4 linked regions of the Struthio camelus genome follow. The protein of the gene in region 2 purifies or fractionates together with the protein of the main gene of each other region. This does not show direct contact. Links are inferred from orthologs where the notes say so. Each region holds a gene or a part of one and is shown on either strand. Other genes may lie near its edges. The genes, in order: SUDS3, SIN3B, KDM5A and ARID4B.

Evidence for each region.
Region 1: the proteins of SIN3B (region 2) and SUDS3 purify together in Homo sapiens (affinity purification with mass spectrometry; 3 studies listed by BioGRID and IntAct, counting the BioPlex papers as one, with this or other methods). This does not show direct contact. The link is inferred for Struthio camelus from reciprocal best matches to the Homo sapiens genes SIN3B and SUDS3.
Region 3: the proteins of SIN3B (region 2) and KDM5A purify together in Homo sapiens (affinity purification with mass spectrometry; 4 studies listed by BioGRID and IntAct, with this or other methods). This does not show direct contact. The link is inferred for Struthio camelus from reciprocal best matches to the Homo sapiens genes SIN3B and KDM5A.
Region 4: the proteins of SIN3B (region 2) and ARID4B purify together in Homo sapiens (affinity purification with mass spectrometry; 3 studies listed by BioGRID and IntAct, with this or other methods). This does not show direct contact. The link is inferred for Struthio camelus from reciprocal best matches to the Homo sapiens genes SIN3B and ARID4B.

Annotation. Positions count from the first base shown.
Region 1 is NC_090958.1:7,270,473-7,278,877, reverse strand, and holds the start of SUDS3 (sin3 histone deacetylase corepressor complex component SDS3), read right to left. Parts: upstream 3,180-8,405; 5' UTR 3,108-3,179; coding exon 2,942-3,107; intron 1,791-2,941; coding exon 1,721-1,790; intron 777-1,720; coding exon 721-776; intron 281-720; coding exon 209-280; intron 1-208.
Region 2 is NC_090967.1:5,365,238-5,372,625, reverse strand, and holds the start of SIN3B (paired amphipathic helix protein Sin3b), read right to left. Parts: upstream 3,090-7,388; 5' UTR 3,054-3,089; coding exon 2,955-3,053; intron 2,605-2,954; coding exon 2,498-2,604; intron 1,917-2,497; coding exon 1,763-1,916; intron 730-1,762; coding exon 466-729; intron 44-465; coding exon 1-43. Other genes in the region: NWD1 (NACHT domain- and WD repeat-containing protein 1), read right to left, coding at 3,804-4,093, 4,844-4,952, 5,668-6,224, 6,595-6,868.
Region 3 is NC_090942.1:68,941,868-68,949,285, reverse strand, and holds the start of KDM5A (lysine-specific demethylase 5A), read left to right. Parts: upstream 1-3,959; 5' UTR 3,960-4,164; coding exon 4,165-4,332; intron 4,333-6,318; coding exon 6,319-6,396; intron 6,397-7,418. UniProt on the Homo sapiens protein: Histone demethylase that specifically demethylates 'Lys-4' of histone H3, thereby playing a central role in histone code. Does not demethylate histone H3 'Lys-9', H3 'Lys-27', H3 'Lys-36', H3 'Lys-79' or H4 'Lys-20'.
Region 4 is NC_090944.1:89,169,456-89,177,041, forward strand, and holds the start of ARID4B (AT-rich interactive domain-containing protein 4B), read left to right. Parts: upstream 1-4,221; 5' UTR 4,222-4,534; intron 4,535-4,634; exon of another isoform or gene 4,635-4,862; intron 4,863-5,700; 5' UTR 5,701-5,756; coding exon 5,757-5,762; intron 5,763-5,775; coding exon of another isoform or gene 5,776-5,776; exon of another isoform or gene 5,777-5,914; intron 5,915-7,586. Other genes in the region: GGPS1 (geranylgeranyl pyrophosphate synthase), read right to left, coding at 3,154-3,209. UniProt on the Homo sapiens protein: Acts as a transcriptional repressor. May function in the assembly and/or enzymatic activity of the Sin3A corepressor complex or in mediating interactions between the complex and other regulatory complexes.

The sequences.
Region 1 (8,405 bases), on a different chromosome or scaffold from region 2:
TTAAACACTCGGCAAACAAGGCCAGTGAAGAAAAGCACGATAGATTCTGTCATGTTTCATGCGTCCTCAAACAAACAACAAGCTACCCACAAAAAGACAGAAGAATCCTTGGTTCCAAGAAGAACCTATTATTTTTTTTCGGGTCATAGGAAAAGAGGTGCGAAGCACTTCATCTGCAGGCAGCTTCTTAGAAAGAAATGCAGCTTACCTGCATTCCGTATCCTCTCTTTGTACTGCTGGTCCAGTTTTTTCATTCTTTTCTGATATTCCTGAAGAGTACCTAGTTAAAAAGAGATTGTTGATTCCTAGTGAGATTTTATTCTTTCCTCATGTTAAATTCTCAGGTAGCCATAAACTACTTGGAACAACAACACTAATGCTCAAAATCAGGAAACCACAACTCTAGTTTCCCTATCTTGATAAGAATGCTCCTTTCTTTTTTTCTTTTTTTTTTTTCCCCCAAAAAGTACATAGACCACTCATTTTAAAAAACGCTTACTTCAGTACGCAGAGACTTACCTACAAGTGTGTAGTATCAGAAGCGGCTAACACTTTTCAGTGAGGAGAGCATGACCGAGATATGTGGTCAGTGAAGGGCCCTACTTACAGCTTTCAAAACCCTAATCCTTCTACGACCTCTGCAGCTGTTCCCAAATCAATCCTCAGCTTTGAAAAGTGCTGAAAATTCTTTAGAAAAAAGCTACCTCCTACAGAGCTTACCTTCCTGCAATTGCTGTAATTGCCTCTTAAGAGATGCCAGTTTGTCCTGATACATCCTGCAGGGAGAGCACACAAAATTACATAAAAATGAAAAACAAAACAAAGAGTCTATTTCACCATCTGTTTAGGTTATTGCATATATACTGAATTAAAAATTTTCCAGAACTCCAGAAAGCAAAAAACAATATATGAAAAAGTATCATTCAATTTAAAAATCCTACAGCCCCATTAACATTGCAGCACACCCAAATCAATTATTTTGAGAACAGTCATGGTAGAATTATCTTTTGTATGCAGAAATCTAACATGACACCACTTTGTCAGATCTTAATATTTGTGCGTTAGTTCCCTACTTATAACATAGGGGACATTTCCTCAGGTTACAGAGGACTTGAAGTTATAAGCAAGCCTCCCCCAGCACCCACATCAATAAAGCTAAAAGCAAGCCCAAAAGCACCAGGAATAGATTTTGTATTTCCCTTCTCACCTATCTGCAGTTTACCACAGGCTGCGTCTTCGTGACCTGTATACAACCATCTCTCTGCCAGTAAGCAAGACCACAAAGTGCTGCAAATAGACTTAAACTTCAAGAGAAGCTATTTCGAGTGCCCAAAACTCCCATCTTCCTGGACATTGCTGGCATTCTATTCTTAAGGGATTTTAACAGGTAACTTGCTTTTGACTTGGCTTGAATCAAGTAGGTCCATTGTTTTATTTAAAAGAATTTTCTGCCGAGGAATTAATTTGCAGCAAAATTGAGTTGCTCCCTCAACCTGCACCTATTTTGTTGTTCAGAACGGTAGCAGCACTTAGTGCCTTGAACACACATGGAACAGAGAGAGAGTAACTGAGGAAAGAAGAGATAGGTGTATATGGACTCATCAACTATTACACTGGGCAAAGAACTTACAAAAGTCCCTAACTTCAGCCTAAAACTTTGCAAAGTTTTATGCAAAGAAAACTAAGTATTGACTTACTTTTATTAGATTAGGTTACTTACTGTTCTTTCATTTCCACAAAGTCCTCTTCCTCATGTTTTGCCAGGTCAGTTTCACTAGCATCCTCAGTATCTAAAAAAGGTAAAGAATGAGTTGTTGAAACTAAAGTAATATTAAAAAGCAAAAAAAAGTCAAGTCATTTTAAAAAGAACAGGCAATTTAACTTCTCCATTTTACAATTCGACAGGCCTCTGGAAAGACTCATTCAGCAGTGAACTGAACCACCCCATCTGCTTCCTGCAACTGCAATTTGTCCCACATAGATTCACTCGTAGGCTTGCAATGAAGCTTACATCGAGTTTGAACGACTTCAGCTTAAGATACCCTGACAGCTTCTTCCCAATTTAAGACAACAGATTCTACATTAGTGCCCACAAATACAGAGGTGAGATGGTAACACGACCCAAAGACTCTGAAATGCATTTCACAAGAAAAACGCTACTACTAGATGCCATTACGGCTTACAAAGATAATACGTGAAGTTATTTGCTAAGATCTGAACTTGACATCTCTGCTACATATTTCACAGAAGTATTTCACCATTTACACATAGCAAAGACTATCACAATTACATAAACACAGCCCCAGTTTTGCCAACAGATAATTATAAGTAAAATAAACTAACAGGGCACTGTTAGCTTTCTGTTGTTGCCTTTTAAGGTTCCTATTTCTGAGACCAGGTAGCCAAAAATTAATTACCCTTCCTCTTCCAGGGAAAGCCAGTTTCTCCAAGGTAGAGTTGAGATTGACTTAAGGCTACAACTGTAAAGCCTAAACTACAGCTATATTCTCTATAAAGGGGGGAACGGAGGTAATCAGTCCTTTAAATCCAGCCTTTCTCAGATTTTTCTTAAACCATGAACAAATACCTTATGCTTATTTACGTTAAGGTAAAAAACAACACACCAAAGAGAAAGTAAAGTGTTTTAACTCCAAGAAGAACAGTTAAATAGCTAAGTTACCCTAAAGAAAGGGCTCCCATGTTTAATCCGGTCGCGCTGCGAGCAGCGCCCCTGAGCAGTGAGCCGTCACCTTTGTGAGGAGCTGCACGTCGCGCTGCGGCCCCGGTTCCTCCCCGGCAGCGGTGCGGCTGCCAGGGCGACGGGCCCCGCCGAAACCCACCCGCTCCGCGCTCCCCCCGCCCGGGGCTCTCCGCCGGCCCCGCTCTCCCGCCGCCTCCCCAGGCCAAGGGCCCGCAGCGCCCCCCCCCCCCCGCTACCGACCCTCGTCGGAGTCGCGGGCCCGGGCGCTCCGCTCGCCGTCCTCCTCCTCGGCGCTCTCCAGCTCCTCCTCCTCGTAGTACTCGGGGCCGGGGGGCATGGCGCCGGCGGGCGCCCCGGGCGGGGCAGGGGCCGGCGGCGTGGCAGACACCAGCCCGGCCGCGCTCATAGCGACGGGACGCAGCCGCCGCTGCCGCCGCCTCCGCCGGGCGCTCGGCAACGGCGCCAGGCCCCGCACTTCCGCTTCCGGGCTGTCCGCGCCGCTGCCCGAGCGCGGGCCGGCCGCCCGGCGGACGCCGCGGGCACCTAAGGGCGGGGTCCTCGCGGCGGGGCGGGGCGGGAGCGGTTCTCTCGAGGCCGCGGGTTCGAGCCGCGGGTTCGAGCCCCGGCCCCGCCGGGTCCGGGCGCGTCAGCGGGGCGGATCTCCAGCCGTCCTGCTAGCGCTGCCACCGCGGCGGGAGAGCAGCCGGCGCGCCCAGCTCTCTGGCCAGCTCCCGCCTATTGCGGACGTGAACGAGAGCCGGGCTCTTTCTCCAGGGCAGCCTTGCTTCGTGGCGGCCCAGAGCCGCGCAGCTCCAGCGGGCGTTACTGCCCAGCAGCGAGCTGCCCGCAGGCCCCTCAGCAGACACCTCTGCGCCCAGGGCTCTGGGAGCAAAATCTGCGTTTCCCTCTGCCAACGGGAACAGCTCCGCTCTGTGCTTGTGCTAAGGCATAAAAACACACCTTGCGCATACTTATGTGCTGCCTTTGCCAACCAGCAGCGCTTCCCCTTCAAGGGATTTATGGGGGAAAGGGGATTTTGGCAACCAGAGATCAATGTTCTCATTTTTGCCACAATGACCCCATCTATCCCAGTGAAATGCCTCCATCACAAGCCACAGGAGTTGCAATAATGCTTTTGCTCACCAGGTAATCTGGAGTAGGATGTTATAGCGATGGGAAAGGACTTCTGAAGACGCTTCTATACCCTTTCTACTTTTTTTTCCCCAATAAACGATTTCCTTGTTCCTCAACAAACTGCCACCACGGTGCTGTGATCTCACACGCACAAGGTAAAGCAGCTACTTCACATCAATAAATAGCAGCTTTCATAAAACAAAAGGGTCCAGAACCATTATGGACACTTCACAGCTGTCGGATATAGATTATTCTCCTGCCTGTGCACTGCTACAAAGTTAAGGACGAAGATACAGAGGCCACAGTGAGACACGTACGGGCACCATACTAAACACATGATCCCAGGCAGCATGAAAAAGTCTCAAATTGATATTCCCGGCTGTCTCATTTAGCCCTTTTCTGCAAGCGTAAGTCACCGGGGACGAACTGACCAATTAGCTTCACTGCCTCTAGCAGAGCTGTGCTAAATGCTTACCTTGACAGTCACAAGAGACGCTCCTCAAATGCACAACCTATTGACTCATTGAGATACTATAAACATCTAACCAGGAAAAAGGAAATAAAAGATAATAGGTTCTATCCAAAAAAGGATTGAACTCAAAAACACTGCAGTGCCTTTATTTTAAACTAGCCAAACCAGCTTTTCACAAGCCAAGGAGAGTACCAGGTCCTACCTAATCTTTGTTCTGAAAAGAACAGCAATAATGCAATACAATACATGCACTTTGCTTTTCTGCAGGTCATCCTGAAGATCTGTTTGCACTGACTGACAATTTTTAACTTGGAACACCCATGCAAAGTATGCATGACACCATTTTTACATAAGTAAATATTACCTCTTACGGGAGATGATGCTGAGACACAGCTAAAAGTCAATGCTATTTAGAGCAATTTCGTGATCGGAATGTTCTGTTTGAGGGCATTTAACTTGGCACTTTGGAGATCTAAATACTGGAGCTGCTGACCGTCTCTCTGTTGCTCAGTAACACCGGGTGCTGTGGGTTATCAGCATCCTTCTGCTTCTCCCCACTCCACGCAGCAATAGCTGCTAGGACCACATATGGCCACAGGGTGAACAGGAAAGGGTGCGGTGGCTGCTGCCACATCACATGAGCTGACTGAGTCCCCCAGCTGCACCAGAGTGTGCTAATGGGTACTTCCTCTCCCCGGGGACTTGCACCTGGCTTGAGTTGTTTAAATAACTTTCCCAAAGTCATACAGTTGCATCAGAGTTAAAAATAGAACTCATACTGGCTAAAACCCTTTCTCAGAACAAATCAGACCCCACTTAGAGCTTTTCCCCTTTGTAATGAGCTCTTTCACATTTCCTTTCTGAATTTCTTCCGTGTGTCCACACGTTTAGCTCCTCAGCAAGCTTTAACTGCTGCGGATAGCAAATGAGTAAACCAGTTGTAAGAGAACAGCCTGAACCAAGGCTGCCCTTCGAAGGTCAATTTATCCTGTGTTACACTGCATCAGCATTTTCTGATTGTCTGAAGCAGATTTATCCTTGAAGAGAAGCCCATCTTTCACACATCATACAAAGGGCAGGTGCATTTACTAATGTGAGGGCACACAAGAATCCTTTGAACAGTAGCTGTGCATGGTGAATGAGTAAGGAACTGCACGTAGTTGCTGATGCAAAAATTTTTAGCTCATTCTGTGGTTAAAACCAGAATCTCACTTACTGCTTGCTCCCTCCATACTAATTCTTCATGTTTAATATTAGCCTTCTGGAGCCACCCTATACTGTCATCTCTCAGGCATTCAGTGGGAACCCGAGGGAGGAGCTTCAGCTTTAAGGAATGTCACGTTTCCCTTACAAATACAGCAGCTTAACTGTCTACACCCCAAAGAGCTATCAGAGAAAATGTAAACTTCTTTTTCAAGCTATTTTACTTGGCGCATGTTGTCATTAAAGCTGTTGTTCTCATCACAACTCATTTTTTATTTTATACACATGCACATGGTTTGAGGAAAGATTTTTGCATCCTGCTTTGTCAGCTTTGACCATTCACTGAGTAACTGACACCAAAGCCAAGCTCAGTGTGTTTTCCTTTCCATTCGTAAGAACTGGGGAAAAAAGTTACCAAGCTCAGCTTGTAAACAGAGATCATGACAATTCATCTACTGTGCAAATTAGATGACTATACTAGAAAACCTACAATACAGCACCTTGGCCTTTGAAGAACAGAACACGTAACAACACCCTTAGCCTGGAACGTAAAGTTGTTGTACCTTTAGTTTCAAAGGACCACATGACGACGGGCTTAGAAGAAAGCCCAGCAAGAGAATAGCTGCCAGAAACAAAACAGTAGAACACGGCGGTGTGAGGTACTGGTAGAACAGAAACCCGTGGTCCTTCCGTTTTATTTGGCAGAAAAGTACCCCAAAGTCAAAGGATATGCCACCGCGGGACCGTCCAACTGTAAAGAAAGGAGCGTTCGCTGCTAGATGCAGGGGCTGCAGAGAATCGCAGCAGCCAAGCGTGGCAGGAAAAGCGTTATATCGCCTTACCCCGGCTCTCTGCCCTGAGCTCTTCCTAATTCGGGCCTTTCGGCCACTGCTAAAACTCCGCCTCCTCCCTCGAGGCCCGTCCTTCCCCAAGCACATCGCCGCGAGCCGGACCGCCTCCTTTCAGCTCCCCTCCCCTCCCCCCGGGGCGACCTGCCACCGGGCACCGAGGTTGTGTCAGGGCTCCCCCGCCCCGGGCGGCAGGTGCCGACAGACTCGCGGCCGCCCCGTCACGGGCCCCGGCGGCCTCGCAGCCCTAACGGCTCCCGGCCGCTACCAATCGACCGCCGATCCCCCCCCGCCCTGCCCCGCGCGAGCAGGCGGACTGAATCGAGCCCGGCTGGCGCGAGACCAGGACCCGCCCCCAAAGCGTCCCCACGGGGCTGGGCGTGGGCCGCTCAGGTAGCTAAGTCGCGCGCCGTCTCTCGGGAGCTATCGATGGAGCGCCGCGCCCTCGCCTGAGCTTCTGGGCTGCGTAGCCGAGCACCGATATGCTTCCCTCCCCAGCCCCCAGTCCTCCCCGCCCCTGGGCGAGCCTCCGCGGGCAGGCCGCGCAGTCGAGCGCCGAGGCGGCGGCGCGATTGGCCGCGCCTGGCGGGAGGGGGCCGCACCGTCGGGCGGCGGCGGGGCCGTGGCAGGAAGCGGCGGGGACGGGGCGGCAGCCTCCCTCCAGCCCTCCCGGGCGGCGCGGACGTGGCCCGCCGCCGCCGCCACCGGCCTCCCGGCGCCAGGTGAGGGCGGCGGCCGTTGGCACCGGCCGCGTGGCCCGCCCGGTGGCGGGGGGAGGGGGGGCTGCGGCCCTCAGAGGGGCGCGGGAGGCTCCGGCCGCCGCTGGGCGCCGGGGCGCGTGTTGGTACGCGGCGGCCGCGCTCTCCCCGGGGCCGGAGGCGGCTCTGGCGGGAGAGGGGGGGAGCAGCGGCGGTGCCGTGTGCCGGCAGCGCTGTCCCGGCCGGGGCGGGTGACACTTGCCCGTTCAGACCGGTCCGCTCGCGAGCGCGTAACTTGAGCGGCACTCGTGCGGGCTTAGTGGAGCCCGCGGGGAAAGGGGAGCTTCGCTCCCGCCCGCTTTCTGTAAACGGGGTTGAAACTTAAGCACGCTGTCTCGGTTTTAGCGGAAGACGCCCCTGTTCTTTTAATGACGTCCAGAAGTCATTTACGGTAGGTGCTAAGCATAGTCTAGCAGTGGTCTTATTTGTGGAGCGGGGAGAGGGAAGGAGCCACCTGCGTGTTTTGGAAGCAAGTGCTGGGCTCTTAGATCTCTGGTGGTTATATGCCTATATGCGCACGGACACGCACATGCATATGTATACGTGCATAATTGAATTTAGGGCCTCACTTTTCACTTTTCACAGGAAAGTAGGCAGAATTAACTACCTAATCCTATAACTATAACGCTTGTAAAACTTTAGTAGCCGTTGAGTAGCCCTGGTGGCATCCAAGTTTTCCTGTGGTTGCTTACTCAGCCTTGGCAGAGCCGAGCAGCTCAGGGCCGAGTTCGTGCCCAGCCGTTGCTGCTATCTGCAAGCAGGGTGTTTTCCCCCGGTTGCGTTCTAGCAGCCGCGCGCTGGTCTCGTGGGTGCGTGGAGTACGCACCCGTTCTGCACGCGGGCTAGTGGCAGCTGCCATGTTTTCTTAAAAATGGCAAACCAGGTGGTACTGGTACGGCCTCCCTTGCTGCAGAGAAGCCCCACAGGAAAAGAAGCTATGTGAGACCTGTCTTCCTTTCCACTTCCTGTCCAAGAGGGTTTCAGATCACGTTACCCACCTAACAGGATAGTGGCCTAGGCAGGAAGATGTAAGCAGTTCAGTTACGGACGCGGGGACGCTCTTTGCCTCTCCTGTTGAAGCTGTTCCACGGTGCAGGACGTGATTAGACCTTCACGGGGTAAGGGAGCAGCGGGGGACTCGCGCTCCTGGCTGCAGCTTTCAGTGCTTGTGTTTGGGTGAGAATAAATGGCTTCCGATCTGTTCTCCAAGGTCTGCTTACGTTTTTTTGAACGAAACTTTACTAGCAACTACACCACTTAGAGTACTGTAGCTTATTTTGCTAGTGGTC
Region 2 (7,388 bases):
ACATGCCTCGAAAGGGTCGGCCTTTAGTGTTCAGCTGTTCTTTCTGAAAGATACACACAGATGTTCAATAGCTATAAAAACATACCTCATTATGCAAGAAAATTTCTTAACTCCATAGCAGCCAGCAGCCAAAACCAAAGACCCTAAGCAATATGAACAAACTTTACATAACATCAGCTAGCCCAAGGTTCTTATAGTGCATCCTATCACACAGAACATCATTAAATCAACTGAAAGTTAGTAAAGACAGATCTAGATACAATCATTTTATGCCTCAGAGCCCAGAAAGTTCAGCAATTTTCACACATTTGTCATTTCATGTGAATATCTACGAGGCAATTGTTGGACAAAGGCCAGCGCTTGGGAACTGTGCAAGCTTGTTCAATAGACAGATGTTTCATTTGACCACACTGTTCAAACAACTACAGTGCAAACCCACAGGCTTTTATATGGAAGACTTTTTACCTGGTAAGTATGAAGAATTTCTAAAAAGGATCTGTAAATTTCTGGATGGTCAAGGAAACGTGTTTTGATCTTATTCACATAACTGATGGCATTATTGAATTCTACAGAATCAGACTCCAAAGGAATTTGGGATTTATCTTCTTTGTATGGAAGCTGTTGCCTAAACTCCTCCGAACAATCACTATGGTTGTGCGAATTCTCCTGAGAGTAATGCAACAACAGCCCGCTGCCAGGGAGAGTGCTGGGAACAGGCTCTGAGGGCACCTAGTGGCACAAGATATGCAAGACAGTGACTTGTAAAGAAACACAGGTGCAAGTTCAACAATTTAGCATCAGTATTTTAGAGCAGTTTAGCTAAAAAAAGATTAACGCATAAAGGAGAAACAAAATAGATTTAATGTAGCCAATAAATTTCCTTATTTATGTCATTAACATCATCAGGTAAAAACGTCCCATAAGCCATATCTGGCTTACGAACTATCTGATTCATTAATGCTTCTGTCGCTACATTATCCACTACGCTTGAAACGGTAGAGAAGCCACGAATGTACCAAATAATCTGCACTGCAGCTTCTATTGCCACCGTTTTATTTCTGAAGAACTGTCAGTTCTAAGAAACATATTACAACACAGGGCCCCTTAAAGGTGCTAAATTTATGAGCAACAGAGGGATCTAAGAGAACTGAGATCTAAAAGAGATTTACTGCTACTAATTAGAGTTAAACCATTTGTTTGTAAGTAGGATTGAGGTGATAGCTCTATTTCAGATTCCACAACCACACAGGAAAAAGGGAAGCCAAGACCAATATGTATCTATTTATATTACAGCAGATGTCTTTCTTTGCAGGATTTGAACAACTGGATGACAACACCTGACTTTTTTTTTTTTGCCTATTGCCTAAACATATTTCTCATTTTCTTACTAAAAGACTGGAAATACGATTCTTCCGGGATTTTTTTTTTTCAAATTTGACATTATACGCTATGCACTGAGAACATATGTCAACATGTCAAGCCAGTGACAGTTTCAGTTTTCAAATTTAACTGAAGCATTTGGATTTGCAGTGGCAATTCATTCGGGAATTTCATTCCTAGTTTAGCAAGCTAAAGTAACAACTAGTTTGAGAATAAATATTTAGATTTATACTAAACCCATCCTCATAGACTTTGAAAACCACATAAAAACCTTAGATGTACACGTATTGCATGTTGCTTTGTAGCCTAAACTATGCAAGAGACCTATATAGGGATACATATACCACAATTCAGTTAGAGTAATATAAGTGCTTTAACCTACCTGACTAGTCAGTGGTGACTGTATACTTAACTTCCCATTCTTTGGAATTTCTATTCTGTAGCCCAAAGGGAGGAAAGCATTGAATCCTACAATGAGGTCGGGATGCTCATGGAACAGCTGTGAAACACGCCTGATTACTCCAGGGGTGTCAATGCTAGAAATGAGAGGAGTTTGTTACTTGCATCCAAACCAAATATACAAGTTAAACCCAGAAAATTACAGAGGTATGTCAAATGTCTGGTTCCTTAGAGATGCAATTTTTAACAAGAAAGTTTGGGATCCTCAGACCTAGAGATCAGCCCAAACAGAGGGAATGACTGCCATGCTCTGCAGCCTCCCACTGGAAACAAAACGTTCTCCACAGAGCAGAGACATGAGTGTGCAGGTTACCCAAAACAGACACGACAGCCATCGCCTCTAGGGCTGGCAGGTCACAGAGGGGCTCTGCGCTCAAGCTCCTTGTCCAGATCTGCGTTTCAGAGTGGGCAGTAAAAACAGATTTGCTTTTCCCTGTGCGTTTTGGCTCTAGGAAAGGATGGAGCAGACGATGCTGGGATGGATGGAGACCCTCCATCTCCCGAGTGTCTAGCTGACCGCGCTACAGGGGGACAGGACCAGCACGGTGGCCTGTGTGGCTGAGGAGGCGGAAGGCCGGCGTGAAGGCTGGGGGGACCCCGCAGGGCCGAGGGGCCCCCGCACAGGTCGAGGGGCCCCGCGGGGGGGCCCAGGCGTTACCTCTGGCTCTTGAACTCCTTCATGATCTCTAGGAAGCCGTTGTAGGTGGCGGGGTCGCTGCCGAAGCGTATCTTCACCTGGTCCAGGTAGGAGAGCGCATCCTCCACCTGCGGGGAGCAGACGCGGGTGAGACCCGACGGGACGGGGGAGGGCCGGGACCCAGGGCGCCCCGCGGCACCGGGGAGGGGGGGGGCACAGGCCCCGGGGCGCCCCACGGTCCCGGGAAAAGGGGGGCAAGGGCGCCCCACGGCGCCGGCGGGGGGGGAGGCGCCGGGACACCCCGCGGCACCGGCGGGGGGCAGGCCCCGGGGGCGGGTTCGGCCCTGCCGACGGGGCGGGGCAGGTCACGGCGGGGCGGGCAGGGCCTTCCCGGAGGGTCGAGGGCGGCGGGGAGCGGCCCTGCGGGCGAAGGGGGGAGGGGAGGTAAACGGCGACGGTCGCGGGGCGCCGCACTCACGTGAACCGGCAGCTTCTCCTGCGCCGCGGCCCGGCCGCCGCCGCCGCCGCCCCAGCGCGGGGCGCTGCCCCCCCGGCCGCCGCCGCCCCCCGCCGCCATGTTGGGAGTCGGGCAGCGGGCAGGAGCGCCCCCCTCCCCCCCCCCCGTCAGCGCGTGCGGAGCGCCTTGCGTCAGCGCGCACGGCGCCGCCGGGCCCGCCCGCCCGCCCGCGCTGCACGGAGCGGGGCGGCGCGGAACGCCGAGGCGCAGCCCGGCGCGGCTCGGAACCTTCGCGGCCGCCGTCGGCGCGGCCCGGGGAGCGTCGGCGCGCGGCACCGCTTCCGGCCGTTCAACCGTCATGGCGGGAGGCGCGCGGCTGAGGCGGCCGCTCGGCGGCCCCGACCCCGGTGAGCGGTGCGGTCGGGGCGGGTCACCGGAGGTGTGGGGCGGCGGCGGCGGTGTCCGGAGCTCCCGGTGTACCGGGAAGCGGTGCTGCTCGCAGGGGAGGAGGGAGGTTGAGCGCGGGCAGGCCTCGGTGCCGAGCGCCCGCTGGCAACTTCTGCTGATCCGTCGTTCGGCCGCCCTTCGCGGTAGAAGCCGAGTCCTGGTTTCGGCTTTGGTGTAGCTGGATGAAACGTGATTTTTTTGCTTACTTACCTGTGTTACGTGATTATCGCTGTGGTGCGTGACAGCTGTTGGACGATGCCAAGATATCAGAAGACTCTGAATAACCACAGTAAGGGAATTTTCAGCGGCATTTAATGTTGTAATTCTAAAACACTAAGGCAAAAGAATATAGCAGATGGAAAGAGAAACCTGTAGGCTCTACCCTGGATGCTTATGATGCCTAATCCTTGTCATCTTTGCTGTTTATATCACTGAGCAGATTTGAGAGAGCTTGTTGGTACGAATCAGGTTCCCAGAAGAGCTTCTTTGGTTATATTGTTGCTTGCTCAAGTTTCCCCCTTCTTTCTTTCTGGATTTTACTGTACACGTTGCCGTGATGTTCTGGAGGGGGTTATACTGAGGAGATGCGTTCTGAGGACAGTGAAACCGCTCGTGAATGATATAGCCGAGTTGTGTTGTTGCAACAAACCCATCTGCAGTTGGTACCATTCTGCTAGCAGTTGTGTATATGCACTGTGCGGCTAGTAAGGCACCTACAGAAAGCGAGGGCAGAATACAGGAAAGGACTTGCTGTGTGGTAGGAGACCACTTAAAACATGTCACTATCTTCACATGGTCCCTTGTCACCAGGCAGTTTGGATTCAGTGAAATTAGGTCACTGATGTTAAATGAAGAGGGAGGAGGAGGAGGGGGGAATAATGAGCCATATTATTTATTCTCCTTAGAACATTATTGATGTTTTACTTCGCAGAAACTTACGGAGATGTTAGCTTGCTTTGCCATAAAATTTGATGCTGGTATTTAAACCCAGAATGCTTTCCCCTTCTGTGTGCTCGAATGCTTACTACTGAAGTTCTGTAACTGCAGCTTCTTGTCACAATTATGATATACTACTTCTGGCTTCAATAATGTTCTACTTTCAGTTCTGGTAATCGTGTGGGATACATGTTCCCTATTGCAGTTTCTTATTGCAATGATACAAGTTAGGGAATCCAGGCAGGTAGTTGTAGGATACTTGTAGGGACCTAGAAAAGGGAAGCTTAGCGCATGTTCTGAAGTAACTGTAGCCTAATAAAGTCACCTTTGTTCATCAGCAGACTTCTTTGGCCAAGATATTTGGCTGTTTTCTGCTCTAATACTCAACCAAATGAGTATCTGTGCACCAGCTGTTGCTGTATGGCATGTTTCCCTTCTTACAACATAAAGAATGGTATAAGCCTGTTTAAATACAGGGAGTAGTAGATACTTGTTTCTCATAATTGCTGGAATTCAAAATTACTCACCACTTGCAACATCCCAGACTGTAATGGACTGATCCAATGCTCCAGTGTACAAGTATTTATCATCTTTTGAGAAGCAAGCACAGCGAATGCCTTTCAGGAGGGACGCAGGCTAAAAAATGGATGATGGTTAGGATTAGATTGTTATACTGATAAACATAGGTTGAGATGAAGAAGCCTTAGAGCATTCAGCAGTTATTCAGTCCTTAAGAGCAGGGGTGAAAGTATAACTAAATAAAGGTTTTTACAAGGCAGAGCAGTCCTGGAAGGAGGGTGGGAAACGTCCTTAGGCCCTTAGCTTGTGAAGCACCCTGTAGCTGTGCAGAAGAAAGCCTAATATGATCACACAAAAACCCATTTTTCCACCTGTGGAAAGGAGTAGTTTGGACTCAACCATGGTATATTGTCAGGTGAAAGATTAACAGAATACATTCAGCATTCTTCACTGCTTTTGTTTTACTGAATTCCCCTGAGCTGGCCCTATTTACACCTTCTGTTGCTTAAACAAAGCAAATGACCAACAATAAGATCTAAAAAAATAACTCCTATGACTTATGTTTGAGTGTCAGAATGGTATTAACAGCACGCATTTACTTTGACAGCATTTTTGGACCTGGATACCTTAACAGTGCATCTAGATTATACGGCTGCTTTAAAATCAGACCTAAATTGCTAAAAAGAGGTTGCTGCTTGTCAGTTGGAACAGCTCTGTACAGGATTTGGGTATTCTCTTTAAGAGCTGGGATTCCTGTGAACTGAATCCTCTGTGATAGCTTACGGCAGTAATTGACCATAGACACTGTCTTCCCTCTCTGTCAGTGAAGTACCTTATAATAGTGCATCTCATGTTCCTGCTGACAAAACTCCAAGTCCCAGAGATGTTGCAGAGAATCTTCAGATCTGCTGAGCGCCCACTGCTCTCCATGGCTGCTTTCCAAACAGGAGATCTGGCTTCTGTGAGCTTCCAAAGGAAATACTGCGGATTGAGGGCAGTCATAAAGGAATAAGTCCCCGCTAGTCATGCCGTAGAGGACTCTGTAATCTGCGAGGACAGCCACACTGGAAACCAGAGAGCCAGGGATCTGGGTATAAAAGGTGTAGGTGGGCCTGGTGATCACTGGGCATGGATCTGCAGGGATAATATCCAGCACAAGGACTAAATCGTCATATGCTATGGCCAGCTGCTTTTCTCTCTTGTTGACTGCGATATCATTGACTGGTTTCTGTGACTCTGGAGGTGGGATGCATGCTACATCCTGCCTGGAATTCAGTGGAAAGATAAGGACTGTTCCAGACACAAGCCCAGTGAAAAGGAGCTGGTTTTGCTCAGCTATTTCCAGGCATCTCACTTGGGCAGAGGTGTCCAGTGTGTCACACACTGCACCTGTAAAAAGAGAAGGAAATCAGCAAGACTGTTCTTATTGCACCTGCATGTGAATGTCCCATCAGGTGGGGTTCAGGATGGCTCCTTGTTTGTGAAGTTATTTGTATATTATTCGTATTTCAGATTTTTCCCTTGTCAAAATAATAAGCTATTCTAGACAGAAACTTTGGAGAGGAGAATAAGAAGCTTTCGAAGCCTGAATCCTGTTCTTTTGAATCTCATGCTTAGGAAAAGCAGAAAGGAGCAGACTGTCTTTGTCACACATGCTCAGAAACTAACTCTGCCTTCACTGCTTCCACCAATTGCTCTGTTTCTCTCCTACCCCATATGCAGGCTTAATTTTCCACGGTGTTTCTGAGATGCAGTTCACCTTCTGTGGTGTCCCAGATGATGACTTTATGTCTCTCTTCAGGCTGGGTAAAATAGACATAGTTCCCACCATGCGACAGTGCAGTGCAGCCTGTCTCTGGGACAGGTGCCTGGGTTTTCTGCTGCTGATCGTAAATGAGGTTCCACACTTTTAGATATGGTGCGCTGGAGGAGGCAGAGACCAAAGTGCAGTCATACAGGGCTAAGAGGGTTGCTGGTGCCCCCATGCCATCCAGCCTGTCGGTCCGCAAACCCTGGTCTGTTAGACTCCACACCTGGAAAAAATTGGAGGGAGAAGTCAGGACCTGAGCGACTGTTTTTTCTCTAGCCTTATTTAAGAGGTGAAACAACAGATCTTCACTGACTTGTACAGAAGCATAAGTAAAGTCACATGATGATAACCTACTCCTAATCTAGAAAACAGGATATTGAGCAACTACCAATACAAAGTTACTCTTAAACAAATATTTAAAGTATCTGGAGCTATTCACTTGCTGCCTTTGCTCTGGAAGATCCCTAATTAGATCCTGCATTTTTGGGGCTGTACTGGGTATTTACCTCTTTCTCTGAAAAGAGGTGGTTCTCCAGATGTTATATATTCCATGTCTGCCTTTCAGACTGGTAACAAGGCAGCTTTTAGGAGATCAAATTTAAAATATTTTAGAAATAAAATTGTATTTCAGGTCCTGGGTATACACTGGCTTAAGGCTGGCTCTCTGAATTGATAACATGCTCTCCATTCAGTGCCAAAAATAGAGAGAGAGCAGAGAGGCTTGAAGCAGTAAAGAGAAGTAG
Region 3 (7,418 bases), on a different chromosome or scaffold from region 2:
ACCGGACCCGCGAGGGTGGTTTAGGAGCGGAGTAACTACGGCGGCAGCGGAGCGGGACACAGTTCCCACGCTACCTTCTGCGGGGAGGGGAGGCCCCCGGCGAGCGGTCCGTCGCGCTCATGGCTCCCTGGCGGAAGGGCCGGCGACCCCGCGGTTAGAGGCCCGGACGGGCGCAGCCACTCAGCCGGGCCGTGCCCGTCGCTCCCGGGAAGCGTCGCTCCGCGGGATAAAGGCTCTCGGGAGTCCGGCGCCAAACAAGCCAGGGACAACCGCCGGGAGGCTGACGCTAGCAGCGCGCACCTACGCGCGGCCCCGCTCCGCGCAGCAACGGCCCCAACGACAAAACAACCGACACAACCAACCGTCCACAACTTAAACACCGAGGCAACCTGCCGCCCGCGGCCCCCTCCAACCACAGGCAGCCTTCCATGCCACCCCACCGCCTCTACCAATCAGCGCTGGCGACACGGGCGGCACCGATCCGCGCCGGCGCGTCTGGGAGTTGTAGTTCTGGGGGGGAACTCCGCGGCCTGCGGTGGCGGCACTGCGCGTGCGCGGGTGGCGTGGGCCGGGTGGCCTTGCGGGGGCGCGTGGCTCGCCGTGGCGTTATGGTGTCTCTACCTGACTGAAATGTGCTGCATTTCTGCCGTCTGTGGGGATTTCTCATCCCTCCCGCTGCCTCTCAGGGCTGGCATATTGAGCATCTGGTTTGGGATGCCCAGTAGTGAACAGAAAAATTGTGTATCTCAATATACTTCAACATGCTACCCTGTGTTTTAACGTTTTCTCAGTGTCAGGTCTCTGGAAATACTGGAACGTGCTTCTCAGAACCTTTAAAATAATCGACTGCTACTTTTCTGAAGTTACAGCTTTTGGTTTTGGTCTACAAATAATGCCACTGTCATTTCTCCAGAGACAGATTCCTCAGATAGTGAATGTTCCCCTGGCAGAACATCACCTCAGGATATAGATTACTGGAGGACTTCTTAGTTGGCAGAGGAACACTTAGTGAACTGATCTGCATGACAGTGAGGTTTAGGTCTCTGGGTAAAATAAACGCAGCCTGCGATGGAAACCCTTCTCATAAGCAACGGCAAAAAAACAGATATGCCATTTTTCTTGGAAAATAAACTAAATGAAACACCAGAGTTATGATGCAGCTACAATAAATGCTTAGTTCAAATTGTGGCTGAATATCTAAATTATTTTTTAGATTATCTAAGTATTTTTTACTTTCTTCATCCCCCTCATGTGTCTTCCCAAACCCAGCGGTGCTTAGTATTCTTACAACATATTCAATATGCAACACAGTGTTTGCTAATGTAGTTACAAAGTATGCAGGGAAAAAAACCCTACAAATGAGTAAAACAGCTTTTTTCCTAACCTTTCCCTTGAAAAATTGGACATTTTGTATTACCAAAAAAAACAAAAACAAAAACAAAAAAAAACCCAAGGCTTACTTACAAAACTGTAAAGTTCTTTTTCAAATCAGTTTTCTCAATAAACACAGAAAAGGGAAAGGGGAGGGTAGTTAATTTTCTAGATAAAGTCCATAATAATAGCTGTTATTTTCCTTTGTTACACTACCTCTTTTCTCCAGTTCATATGAAGCAGCTTGAGAACATTGTATAAGGGGTTGAAGTCTTCCCGCAGTAGGGAAGTGATACATAGTTCCAGATGACCAAGAAAAAATAAAGATTAACATGGGGTACAGAAATCGTAGCATGGTTCAATGTTTTGGAGGCTAACAATCCCCAGTCTGGAGCAGGTAACTTGAGAGAAGCATAAAATTTTGTTGCAAAAAGGAGAGCCTGCAAAACTGATACAATGAGGAGAGCCTGCAAAACTGATACAATGAAACAAATGCCCCTTCCAGGTTATTAGGGATTTTTAGCTCTTCAGTCTGTCGGGAAAAAGCTGCACCTGTCCCAGAACTCTTCACTAGCCCAAACATCTTAACACAAAAACAAAACAACCTTGAACAGTCTTGAAGAAAATCAACTGGTTCTCAAAACAAAAGTTTTGCATGGATTAGGTCCTTCTTAGCATAGATTTTTTTTTCCCTAGGACTTCCGGCTAAATCACTGCTTATCTTGGAAATTGGATATGCTGGCTATTCGGCTGTTGAGAATGAGAGTGGTTTCTCTATACGCAGACATTTTGCCAAAAGTGTCTGTATAGCTCTTCAGAAGGAAAGATTACAAAAATTTGGCAGGAATATGTAGGAATATAGGGTAATTTCTAGATATGTGGTAAGGAAACATCTGCATTCCACATGCTTTTCCACTCATAAAAACATTGGGCATCCTTGTCAAGAACCCTAGGCAAAATATAATAGCGCAACAACTCAGCAACTATTAGCAAACTTGGTCAACACTTTGTAAGATCAATTTGCTGTTGCCCGTAAATTTTGCCAAAATTAAACATTTGCACTGAAACCATGTGTTTCCCATATATAAAATACACACAACACCTCTTCAATCTAGCAGGGAAATGGCGCTGATAGATGTATTAATCTTTGTGAAGCAGATACTGTAAACCTCACGGCAAGAGGAAGAGGAAATTACTTTTTCTAGGCTGAGACTGAAATGGTATATCAAAACAAGCTTGGGACTATGTAATAAACAGAATAAATTGAACTGTGGAATATAGTAAACAGTAAATGAGGCCAGCATTATGGTTTAAAAAAAAGTAACTTTAAAAAGTAACTTTTTTTTAAAAGACTGTGTCATAACGGATAGGTTAATTAGGTAGCTTACCCTAAATGCAAGCAAGTCCTAACTTGTGAGTACTTGACTTTGGAAACGTTGACATTTCTTTACTGGGATGAGAGGGTGCAAAATGCCTATACATAATACAGAACTTGGGGGTTGATTGTGGAATTCTTCAGAAAACGCTGTCATTTATTGTTGGCCAGCTTTCTCAGATCTTAATCAAGAAGCAAGGAGACAGCCTGGCTTGAATTGGTACAGCGGTGAAGAAAAATGTGCATTAACCAGTCTTAAAATCAGTTAATCGAAATTGAACTCAAGGCTGGCCAAAACAGGGCGGATCAGGGCAGCTGGCTCTTGTGGTCACTGACACGCTTTGCCCTTTGCCAAAAGAATTCAACATTTCCTTTCCGCATCGTCAACGCTGCAGGACGTGAACGTGCTGGGACATGGCCTAGGACCCACGAAACGCTCTCCCGGCTTCACCAGCAGCACAGACCTCGGGCACAGCTGACCCAGAGCCCCAAAAATGAAAATCACGGTGGGAATTCTTTCCTGAAGAACCGCAACAAAAACCTGGAAGAAAAAAAACCCACTCAAAACAAACACTGTCTAACGATGCAACGTAAGCTTCCGAAGGAAACACCCTCCTGTGGCACGGCCGGTACTTAATTAGCAGGTTGGTTCCCCTTTTCCCTGACCGGGGCCTCCGCATGGCGTCAGCGAGAACGACGGGGGCCGCCCAACGGCCGCTCTGGGCGGGGCCCAACGGCCGCTCTGGGCGGGGCCGCGTGGCAGGGGGCGGAGCTCCCGGCGCTTCCCCTGACGTCCAGCGCAGACAATGGGGGAAATGGCCCTTCAGCACCGGAAGTGAATGGCTCGAGTTTCGCCGCACATTCCTCCGCGGCGGAAGGCGATGCGGCCCCTCCCCCCCCACCGGGGCCGCGCCGTAGGGTGCCGTGAGGGGGCGCGAGTGGAGCAGCGCAGCTCCCCGATCTGCGGCCGTCGTCGCTCGGGCAGCGGCAGGGCCGGGGGGCGACGGGTCCGTCCGCGCGGCGGGCCGCCTTGCCGTGGCGGAGGGGACTACTTTCTCGATCGGAAGACGACCATCTCTCCGTTTCCGGGGGAGGGCTCATACACCGCCGCGTAACTTCCGGGGAGCTGGAACGAGAGCGAGAGCGGCTCCGAGGGGGGAAGGCGGCCCCGGGGGACGGGGCACGACACGGCGCACGGCAACCGCCGCCGGCGCCAACCGCCGCCCGCCCGCCCCGGCCGTCCTGCCCGGCAGCTGCCGCCGTCGCCGGAGGATGCGCCTCGGCCACCGGCCCAGCCCTGCCGGCCGCCCCTGAGGTGCCCCCGAGCGGCCCCTGCCCGGCCGCACCGTCCTGCCCTGCCCTGCCCTGCCCTGCCGTCCCCTGCCCGCCGCGGCCCTCGGCGCCCTCCGGCCGCCGCCATGTCGGGGGGCGGCGGTGGGTCGCGCTACGCGGCCGAGTTCGTGCCGCCGCCCGAGTGCCCCGTGTTCGAGCCCAGCTGGGAGGAGTTCAGCGACCCCCTCGGCTTCATCGGCCGCATCCGCGGCTTGGCCGAGAAAACCGGCATCTGCAAGATCCGGCCCCCCAAGGTACCGCCCGCCCGCGGCCGGGGCGGTGGGGCTGCGCCTGGGTGTGTGCGGGGGGGGTGTCCGCGGCCTCGCCCTCGTCCTCGCCGTGTGCTTAGGGGTCAGAGCGGGCCCGGAGGGACCCTTCCCCCCCCTCCCGGCGCTTTTCGGCCGAGCTTGCGGGGGCTCAAGGCAGCTGGGGCAGGTTCAGAGCTGTTTCTTGTCCCTTCCTCGGGCTGCTTGGGGTTTATGTGTGTCGCCTTTGGTGTAGGCCTTGGTGTCCCTGCCAGGGGCATGCCGTACCTGTACGGTCTTTGACCTCAGGGATGGCTTTGGTAGAGGCTGCTTTGGAGCAGGTGAGAAGCTAGTAGTGCATGGCGATGTCCTGGGCTTCATGCTCTTCTTACTTAAAAAGAACAAACAAACAACAACACACGCACCCACTGTCACGTTTCTGAAACCTATAAAGGCATTGTAGGTGAAACGAAGAGTTTGCTGCTTAGGGGATGTGGGTGGGAAGGATTTTCCTTTTTAACGGATCTTTATTTATAAACATAATCTTGTAGCTATTAATAGAACTGCTGCCAACCTGTTTGTGCCCAGGAATTATGTTTATGTCTAGCAGCTTAGAAAGTAGAAGCTTAGTGTTTCTGGTGACCTGATGGATGATCAGATCATTATTTTATGATGACTTGGCCTGTGACCTGGTAAACCATTTGGACAAGAACATCAAGCAGCTTAGAGAAAGGTTCTTACAGTCTTTAAAATTAATGCCCAAATAAACCTTAAATGCAGCCATAATGTAAGAGAGTTAAAAATGCCCAGGAAGAAAGAAGAACCTCAAAAGAGAAAATGTAATTGAGAACATCCTGCATACAGGAGTTGCTGATTAGATTTCATGATCCTTCCTTTCCTCCTAATCTGTTTGGGTTGCTGGAATCTGTTTAGTTGGTTTAATGACATAGTGAAAACTTGACCTCTGAGGGGCTGCCCTTTCTAAAATAAGCAGAATGGCTTAGACTGAGAGGCCACAAGAAACTGATCCAGATCCTATTCATTGAGAATAACTAGAACTTTCTTAGCAGTCAAGCACATTTATATTTCTCCATGATGGTTTAGCTGTTTGTATTGCAGTGTTTTGCAGGACGCAGGGGTCAGGTTGATTTGCAACCTGCAATAAGGACTACATCGGACACTTTATACTAATCTTACTGATTCGTTATCCTTTTCCATCAGTAGGAGCTATAAATATTTTATGATCTTGCTTGGGGCTTTACATGTTGTAGCAATACAGATAATAAATATTTAGCCTGTCTTGTCCATCTGGAACGTTGCGTCCTTACACCATTGTACTTTCTGTCAGATAGGCTATCTAAAGTGCTTTAAGGTGTCTTTAGAAAGTACTGAAGAGCTGAATTGTGTTTATTTTGATGTCCTAACACAGTTTTGAGAGATGGCGCTGAGAGGTACTTCTGGTTGAACGACTGCTGATCAGGTTAAGAAAGTCATTATTTGAGACTGTGTTTGTGTTAAAGGGTTAGACTACCAACTGGTCTTCCTATCTTTATTGAAATATGACTCTAGACAAACATGAATAAAGTTAGACACATAATAAGGTATTTTATTTGGTGGCTGTCACTGTTGATAGTGAGATTTTGCGGTGTGCTGGATATATAGAACTTTTTTTAAGAAACAACCAACCTACAGGGCATCTCATATTCAAACATGGTATAAAACAGTATACGCAGAAATGCTTTAAACCATATTTCATTTATATTTTTAATTTTATGAGTTTCTCTTTCTTCTAACTTAAATATTATGGGAAGAACATTATGTTAAAAGCATTATAATGTCATGAAACTGGAAAATCGTAATGCAAATTGTACTGAGAAACTCATTTACTGTTGGAAACTTGTTTGCTCAGAAGTTATTAGGGTATTAGGGTTACTATCTCTGTGCGCTCTTCAGAAGTTTCTTGAAGCACTAAAAAGTCTTCCTGTCTCTGTTTAGGACTGGCAGCCTCCATTTGCATGTGAAGTACAAAGCTTTCGTTTCACTCCACGAATCCAGCGCCTGAATGAGCTGGAGGTGAGCTTTTCCACTGTCGATTTAATTTTGTATTTGCACTGAAACCAGTAGGTCTCCTTGCTCGTGGTTTGCATCTTGGCAAGTTTATGAATGGGGAGACTTTAGAAACCCATAGACCACATCAGTGTTTATACTTGGCACTGGCAACGTTTGGGTGAAATAACTCTCCATGGCTTTGAGAAAAGTCTGGCTTTTATTTTATTACCCAAAATAACCACAAGAGTTTTTCACATTCAACTGGAAATCTCTAAAATGGATGCCAAATACCATATTGTATAGTAAGAGCAGCCAGTGTCTAGCCTTCAAAACTCCACAGGGATTGAGGAAAAAAAAATATGTGTGTGTGTATATGTATTTGTCTTCCTAGAATACTTACTGCTGTTCTTAAGCCTCTGGTTACTTTATGCTTATATACCTTGATAATGCCTCTTAAGCCTTAAAATGAAGTGTTTTTTTTATAGGTCTAGTTACAATTAATTAATTTTAAGTTTCAAAAATGCGTGGGAGCTTTATTGAAAACCGTGCAAGTCCCTAGTCTGTCCTGGTTTTTCCTTTCCCTGCAACATTTCTCAAAGGCTTGCTCTGTTCATATACCAAAACATCATATATTATTTGGCTTGTAAATGGGTGCCCTTATGGAATTTTGCATATTGCAAAAATACTCAAGGGAGGAGACTCTTGTGCAGTGTTAAGGCATACAGGAAAATTCTTTATAACTTTTTTTTAACCTTGTACTTCTGTTTCAATAATTGCTCTTGTTTTTCTCCTTGGAATGCTGATTCTTCTTATCTATGTGTTTTATCTTCAAAAAGAGAAATTGCTAGGTGGGAATTTGGATCTTGACTGTGGAGAGCAAAAACATATATAGTATTCTGTTTATAAAGATCTGACTTTTTATTATTATTTTTTTAACACAGCTAGGAAAAGCATCACTTTACAGGTTACATTTCAAAAATATAAACTATTCGAGGAACTTGTGTTTTCTCAGGACTGTATGGTATTTTCGTGCTTGTTTTGGGAAA
Region 4 (7,586 bases), on a different chromosome or scaffold from region 2:
AATTCAGAGGATTAGCATTAAGATCACTGCTTCCTCTTAAGACACCTGGACCAACTGGCATTCCTCAGCATTTCAGCATCTTTTCCCTTTCAGTGGCAGCTTATTCAGTCCCTGTCTACTCCCATTCCCACCCTCCTGCCCCATAAATATTTGTAGCAGCCCAAACTGGGGAAATAATTCACACGAACAATTATTTTCCAAGTTTACGTCTAGATCAGTTCCTTCATTTGGTTCACTACATGAAACCACACTGCAACTTCAGAGGCAAGAGGCTGTTGAAGCAAGCACAGTTGCCCAAGAAACACTCATAAGACCATGCCGTTTGGGAAAGCTTTGCATAGGTTTTCATCAGCAATGCCACAATAAGTGGTACAGCTCTTCCATCTCATGGTGTACCAGCACAACTGACTGTCAGGCCACACCATAATCTAAGTCAGGCTTAACACAACTCTTTTTGTGTCATCTTATTGGTATAACTGAAGGGACAGGAACTGCTTTTGAGCCAGCACTGCCACTGAGGAAGTCAGCTGTGAAACTGCACCCTCATACCTAAAGGGCAAGCCTCAAACTTCTTCAGTGAGGAAGGACAACCAAAAAGATTATCCCAGTCCATCGTCAGATATTTTGACCAGAAAGAAACTTGTAGCGAAAGACAGAAGGAGGCACTAACCAAGTTAACACATCTCCTATGACTATTATCACCAAAAAGCCACACAGCTGGCTTAGAAGTGGAAGTGTTTAGCTACCCACAGAGCTAAAGAGAGAGATGCTAAGGTTGGAATTTCTTCTCTGTCAAGGCTTCTCATAGCTAGAAAAGCAGTCTACAATGAGCATGCACAGTAAATGCTTTTATGCTTAAATGCATGCTAAGACTGAAGTCTTTCCCAACACAAACTGCTTGAAAGTAAACCTTGAAATTCTTCTTCTTCTTCCCTCAGAGGATGAGAAGGTTTCTTTCTTGTCTGTAGGACAGGCAAACAGCATTCAAGATCCTTAACTAGCTTGAAATAGGCTGGTATTACACCACTAAATCCCCAGCCTTCTAGTGCTAAACTGACAGAAGTCTCCTATATTAGTTTCTGAGACACTGCTTATCCACAGAAAGTTAGCCAGACACTTTTCCCTACAAGGGCCTAGATTTCTTCCTTTTCAAGACAGACATAAGGAAAAACACTTTAAGAGACAAATAATGGTTGGTGACTTAGCTTAAATTACCATAGCTAAGCTTTTCTAGGCTGCTATGCTACCTCTACATGAAATGGTAGATAACCTGTGCTAAGGGAAAAAGCAACAGTCTAATCATTCATAAGAAAACTACTTGTCTAACACACACAGCAAAAAAGAATAGTGACTAGAACTCCCCAAAGTTATATAAGAAAGAGGACACCTGATGAAATATGTAAATGAAGACGCTTAAAGGCTGATCAGCAAGAATATAATGAAGCATGAGAGAAGACGGAGAGCAGTAACATCACTGCTCTTTGCAGAAAATTCCTACATTTAACACACCACAGGAAGTTATTGATATTAAGGATTTTTCACTTAGGCAGCTGATCAACTTACTATAAAAGTTACACTGCTACAAAAAGTCCTCTCATTTAAGAAAATTTGAGACAAGATCTCAGTCAACATCTCCCAAAAAAGTAGAGCTGCAAGAACTTCAACAATAAATGAAAGGGAATATAAAGCCTTTATTGGTGGAAGGGCAATCTTGCATGTAGGTTTATTCAGAAAATTAAGGCAGTTAAGGCAATTTTGCTTAGTTCAGTTTTCTTTCAAACTGTACACACTTCCTGCATGTCAATTAACACAAAGCTTTGAATTTTTTCTAGCAGCTCCATATAAGCATACTGTAGAACAGCTGCTATAGGCACAATCCACGCCGTGACGAGACAGAACCCACAGAACTGTCTTTTGAACTGCAACATACTTTATCTTTAATGATCTCACTGAAAACACACAAGATGCTAGAAAAGAACAGCAGTATGGGCTTCCAGAAGTTGGAACTACTAGAGATAATTACTGAAGCAGTGATCCATAAATAGGAGCTTTCCAAAGGAGGCAAGTAACATTAGACCTATGTTGCACTTACAGTAAATCTTCACTTTTGAACTTCATAAACAGCTTCTCACTCCATCCCTTCCACTCCGCAGGATATTCTCTGCCCTTGTCCTCAGCTCCAATTGGTGAAATAAGCAAGATGACCAAAGTGTTCCAGGCTACATATACACCTAACAGAAAACGGTTCTTTAAAAAAAGCTGCCTCATCTCAAGGGCTCCATTCACAACACAATTGCACAGAAAATAAAACAGAGCCACCAAAGGAGCAGTGAACTGCACTGAAAAAAAACACCCAACCACCCAGAAAGTTCTTAAATCAGCCTCATCACAGAATGAGGTTCACTGGGACACTGGTTTCATTGTAACCAAGGAAAAAAGCCCCAACACAGGGGGAAGTAGGAGCGAGAAAGTCTGTTTCAGAAGGAATAAACAGATACTGTTGTGAATGCACACTGAATTGAAGAGGCTATCAAGGCTCCTAATCCAACTGGGATTTGGACAGGATGCTTGTCATCCTAGCTCACATTCTCATTCTAACTAGAAGAGTTCTTGTTAGAACTTCCTGGACTGATACTGAACAAAACCATATTGCACTTAGAGTAGGCAACATCCCACAGGTTGAACAATGGCTGTAAGGCATCCTCAAAAAAAGCAGCTAAATTACTGTCTTTTCATGGCTGCAATTTAACACTTTAGCCCTGCAACACCAGAACAGCTAGAACATCGTGTTGAAATGGAAACACAATTTCAGCAATATCTCCCGGTACAACTGAGTAACAACGACACAGCAGCAAGAGGAAGAGAACCAGCCTCCTGAAGTCCCCACACTTAAGTGGTGGCAGCATACAGACAGAAAGAGTGCAAGTTATCAGCTGATCCAAACACAGAAAGCAAACCAGCAGAGACCAGAGTCATGCCTACTGCAGAATCGCTTCTCAGATTAAAAGTCGCATTTCGCAAAGAACATGAAGTTGTTACCCTGCTAACAGATGCGTGAACCCTCCCTCCCCCATCATAATCGCAACAAAGGCGGCACGGTTCATTTTTCAGAGTTTGATGCGAGCGCTGTAAACGCAAAGGAGGCTGCAGAACCTCTCCGAAGCGCTCCCACAACCCAGGAGTGGGCAGCTCAGCACCACCAGCGCCATTTTAGATAAGACACGGTCGAGAGCGCGCTGAGGACTCCTCGCTCCCCCTGCCCGCCGTCCATCCCCATTTTCTGATCGGCGCGGCCGGCAGCCCGAGCTCAGTCGCCGGGCAGGGAAGCGCCGCCCGCCTCGGCCGCTCAGGCAGCCCGCGACGCCACCGGCGCCGCCCAACCCGCACGGCGGCCGCAGCCGCCGGCTCCGGCCCCCCTCCCTGCTCACAGCCCCTTCCCGGCCCCTTCCAGGCAACCGGCCAGCCCCTCCTGGGCGGGGCGGCCGCGAGAGCCGCTCCCCTCCCAGCCGGGCTCGCCCTCACCGCCCCGAGCCCCGCTCCAAAGGGGAGTGGGAAGCGCCGGCTCCTCTGACGAGCACAGCCTGCTCTCCTCCCCCCTCCCCCGCCGCCCCACACACCCGGTCACGGGCAGCGAAGCCGCCTCCCACCAGTAACGGTCGGCGAAGGCGGCGCGAGACAGCCGCGGGCGGCCGCTCGCACGCGGCCTCAGCCCCAGCAACCGCCGCTCACCTCCTCTTCGCCGCCAGTCGGAGCCGCACCACGCTCCGCTCCGCTCCCCCGAGCGGCCCGCGCCAGGAGTGGCGCCGGCGGCGGCAGCAGCAGCACCAACGACGCTCGAAGCACCGCCCCCTTCCGCTTCGCCAGGCGCCACCTTCCCCCCTCTTGAGGGAAAATGCGCCACCAGAGCCTCACTGCGCAGGCGCCAGCTCCGCCCCCGGTTTAATTAGCATTCGGCTTCGGCCCCGTCCCCTCACGGCCCCTTCCCGCGGTGCGTCCTGGGATATGTAGTCAGGCTCGTGTGCCAAACCGCTTCTCGAGCCCTGGTGAGCGGCGAGGGAAAGCAGCAGCACCCATAAGTCTTCTCGGTGCCGACTCTCAGTTTCCATAGAACTGGAGAAGAATGACGTCAGTATTTCCGAGGCGGCAGCCAATGGGGCAGAGGGAAGGGAGGGGCTTTGCAGGCTGGAGCCCAATGGAGGAGGCGGGGAGAGGGGCGTGTCCGTCTCCCTCCCGCCCTTCTGTCCGTCCGTCAGTCAGTCGGTGCGGGAGGGGGAGGGGGAACCGAGAGGCTCCGAGCCGAGCAGTCACCGCCGTCGCCGCCGCCGCCGCCACCGCCGAGTCCGAGCCGGACGGATCGACCCCGCCACACGCAGCACGGAGCAGACGCTACCAGAGCCGTTGCCGGAGCGTTGACCGGGGGCCGAGGCCGGGCGAGGGGGGTCCGGAGCTGAGAGGAGGCTTCGCCCCGTTCCCGTCCCTCCCCCCCGCCTCGGGTCAGGGGGAGCAGCGGGCGGGCGGGCGCCGCGGAACAAAGGTAACAGCGACGAGCCGGAGAAAGAGGCGCCGGGCGGCGGCGGCGGCGGGCGCGGGGGGGGGGGGCGCGGGGCCGGGCCGCGGCGGCCGGGCGTGCGTGCGGGGGGGAGGGGGGCGGTTGTTTTTCTCCTCGGAGCGAGACTGCGGCGGGACTCGCCGATCCTCCTTCTCTTCTCTCTCTCTCTCCCCCCAAACACCCGGCGGGGGGGAGGGGGATCGGGTGCCGCCTGCGTGCGGGAGGGACCGGCGGCTCCTCCAGCCCCCTTCGCCTGCCGACAGGGGCCGGAGCCCCCTCCTCCACGCAGAGGCTCCGTGTCCCCGCTGAGCAGGTCGGGCCCCTTTCTCCCCGCCCCCCTCCCTCCCTCCCCGTTCCCACTCCCTTCTTTTCTTCTTCTTCTTCCTTTTCTTCCCCTCCGCCGCGTCCCTCCCCCCCCCCCCGACCCGCTGCGCCGAGCTGGGGAGTTGCGGCTGTTGCTGCTGAAACTCCTGCCGCGGAGTCAGCGCTTTCCTTTATTTTTTTTTTGGGGGGGGGGGGGGGGAAGCCGCCGCGATCCGGAGCCGCAGCCCCTGCAAAAGCGTGAGAGTGGCGGGGGAAGGGGAAAGGTGGGGGGCTGCCCCCGACGACACCCTCCCTGCCCCACGGCGCAGGCAAACACTCCTCTTCCTCGTACAATGGAGGAAGAGCCTCCCTCCTCCCCTGCCGCCCTCCTCCTTCCCCCTCTCCGGCGCCCCGCGGCAAAGCGGGGGGTTGGGGGGGGAAGGAGGCGGGGGGGGGGTTGCCCGGGGCTCGGGCCCCTCCGGCCTCCTGCCGGTGCCCGCGGAGGGGGCGCAGCGCCCCGGGAAGGCAGCCGGGGCCGCCTCCCCCCGCGGCAGCCGGGGAGGCTGGGGGTGGGTTGTTGTTGTGGCAAGTTTCTCCTCCTCTGACAGAAATGGCGTCAATGGCAGCGAGTGTAGGGGAAGCCGCGGCGTGCGGGAGCTGGAGGGGAAGCGGTGGCCGGGGAGGGAGGGGAGCGGGCTAAGCGGGGGGCTCTGGGGGAGGCGAGGGGGAGTTTCGGCAGGAGCCCGGCCTCCCCCCCCCCCTCCCGCCCCGATCCTGGCCTCCCCTCCCCTCCCCCGCCCGGTGCGAGCGGCTGGTGCGGTGCCTCAGTGCTTTGTTTTAAATTCCAGGTCCAGCCTCGGCCGCTCAGCCCCGATCGAGGCTTTTACCGCAGCCTGAGCTCATCATGAAGGTAAAACACTCACTTGTATGTCTGGGAGGGGAGGGGAGGCAAGGTTACGTGAAGAAATGCCGTCCTGGCTGTCAGTCCGTCTGTCCCGACCCCGGTGCGAGGCTCGGCGCTGGTGCGGATCCAGACTGCGGGCTGCTTCGCCCCAATGCTGTGTTAGTGCCTCCGCTCCTTGGCTGCTCGTGGGGCGGGTTTTGCTCCACCACGTTTTGCTGGGGAAAGTGCAAGTTCGCTGAGAGAGGGCTGTTCTCCTTCAGAAACATTGTTTGTAGGAGAATAAGGACATGGCTGCCTGGGCTGAGCTTGCTTCATGGAGGAACAGGGGACAGTCGCCCAGCTTGAGAAAGTAATGTTGCAGGGGAAATGCTGGCCACACAGCCGTGTTTCTCTGAATAGAGGGTAAATGGTAGATTTACTTGCCTTCTCTTCATTAAGAGGAGTTTTGTTGAATGAGTGATCCTGATCTGATCAGGAAGGGAGCATGTAAGAGATTCTCTGCAGCGAAATGATTGCTGTAAGGTGCAAAAAGATTTTCAAACAGGTTTTAATTTTCTTCTCAGTGCCGTGTACTAGTCACATACAAAATTGTCACAAAGTGAGTGCACTTTTCTTCTCTTAGGCCTTTCTGGACCATTGCTTTTTGATACATTGGACAAAGTTTTATAGAAAAAAAAAAATCAGTGGCATAAAATGATTTCTTCTATGTATGGCAAAGAACCATGCACCTAAAAGTAGTTTTTAAGAACTGAGATTATTAGTCCTTTTGTCATTTTGCTGCTGATTTCTCGCTTGAGCTGCTTTTTATATTACCCTGACCCCCAGGTTGTGTAATCCAGATCCTGGCTATGCTGGGCTGCAGTGAATCTTGTTTCAAAATATTATAAACCTTACCAAAAATGATGATTATGAAGCTATGATGCATCAGGTCATTGGTATTCATCAATAAAAAGAGCAGTATGTATGTGGAATCTTGCACTATCAGAGTTGTGCTACTGCATATCAGTTTGTGTATTATGTAAAATATGTACCCTGTACTGTATTCGCTGCTGGAAATGGTAGATGATATAGACTTTTTAATTTCTAGATTGATATGATATTACTAAGAGTAGCAAACTGGGCCTTTGTATAGCTGTTAAAGGTTCAGCCTGTTTTGCTTACTTTGGTGACTTAATGACAATATCTTAGGAAAAACAGTCCTGCTTTAAGTGCCCTTCCTCTGCTTTCTCTCTAGTAAGTGTTAAGATCTAAAATGCTGCACACATCTTTCTCATTAGAAGTAAACTATTTATGAATTTACAAACAACGGACTGTCAATGTAGTATGATACGGAGCTTCTCAGCTGTGGCCCATTGCCTAGCAGGGATGCAGGAGATGGAAGCAAAGGAAATAGGAGGCAGTATATGGAGCTATTTTCCCCCACAAGCAAAACCACTTATTTAAATGACAGCTAAATTTACGTACATTTCTAATATTCTTTTTCCATGTAAACAAATCCTACGGTTACCATAGAGATTAGGTTCTGATTATAGAGACATATAAATATGTAGATAGACAGTTGGGAGGATGAGAAGGTCGGATCACAAGTGGGAATACAAAGTATTCTGTGAAATGGTGATAGAGCCCCTCTCCAGGCTGAACTGAATGTATAACAAATGCTTAAATTTAAAGTAACAAAGAAAGCAGCCTGTTAACACAGCCAGACTTTAACAAAAGCTCCCAGCGCATTTATTCTTTGATGGGTTTGTGATACTATTGCGTTTTTATTTATTGATTTATTTATTTTTTTTTTAAACCTGGATAAATTCTGCCAGTGCAATTCTGCCAGTC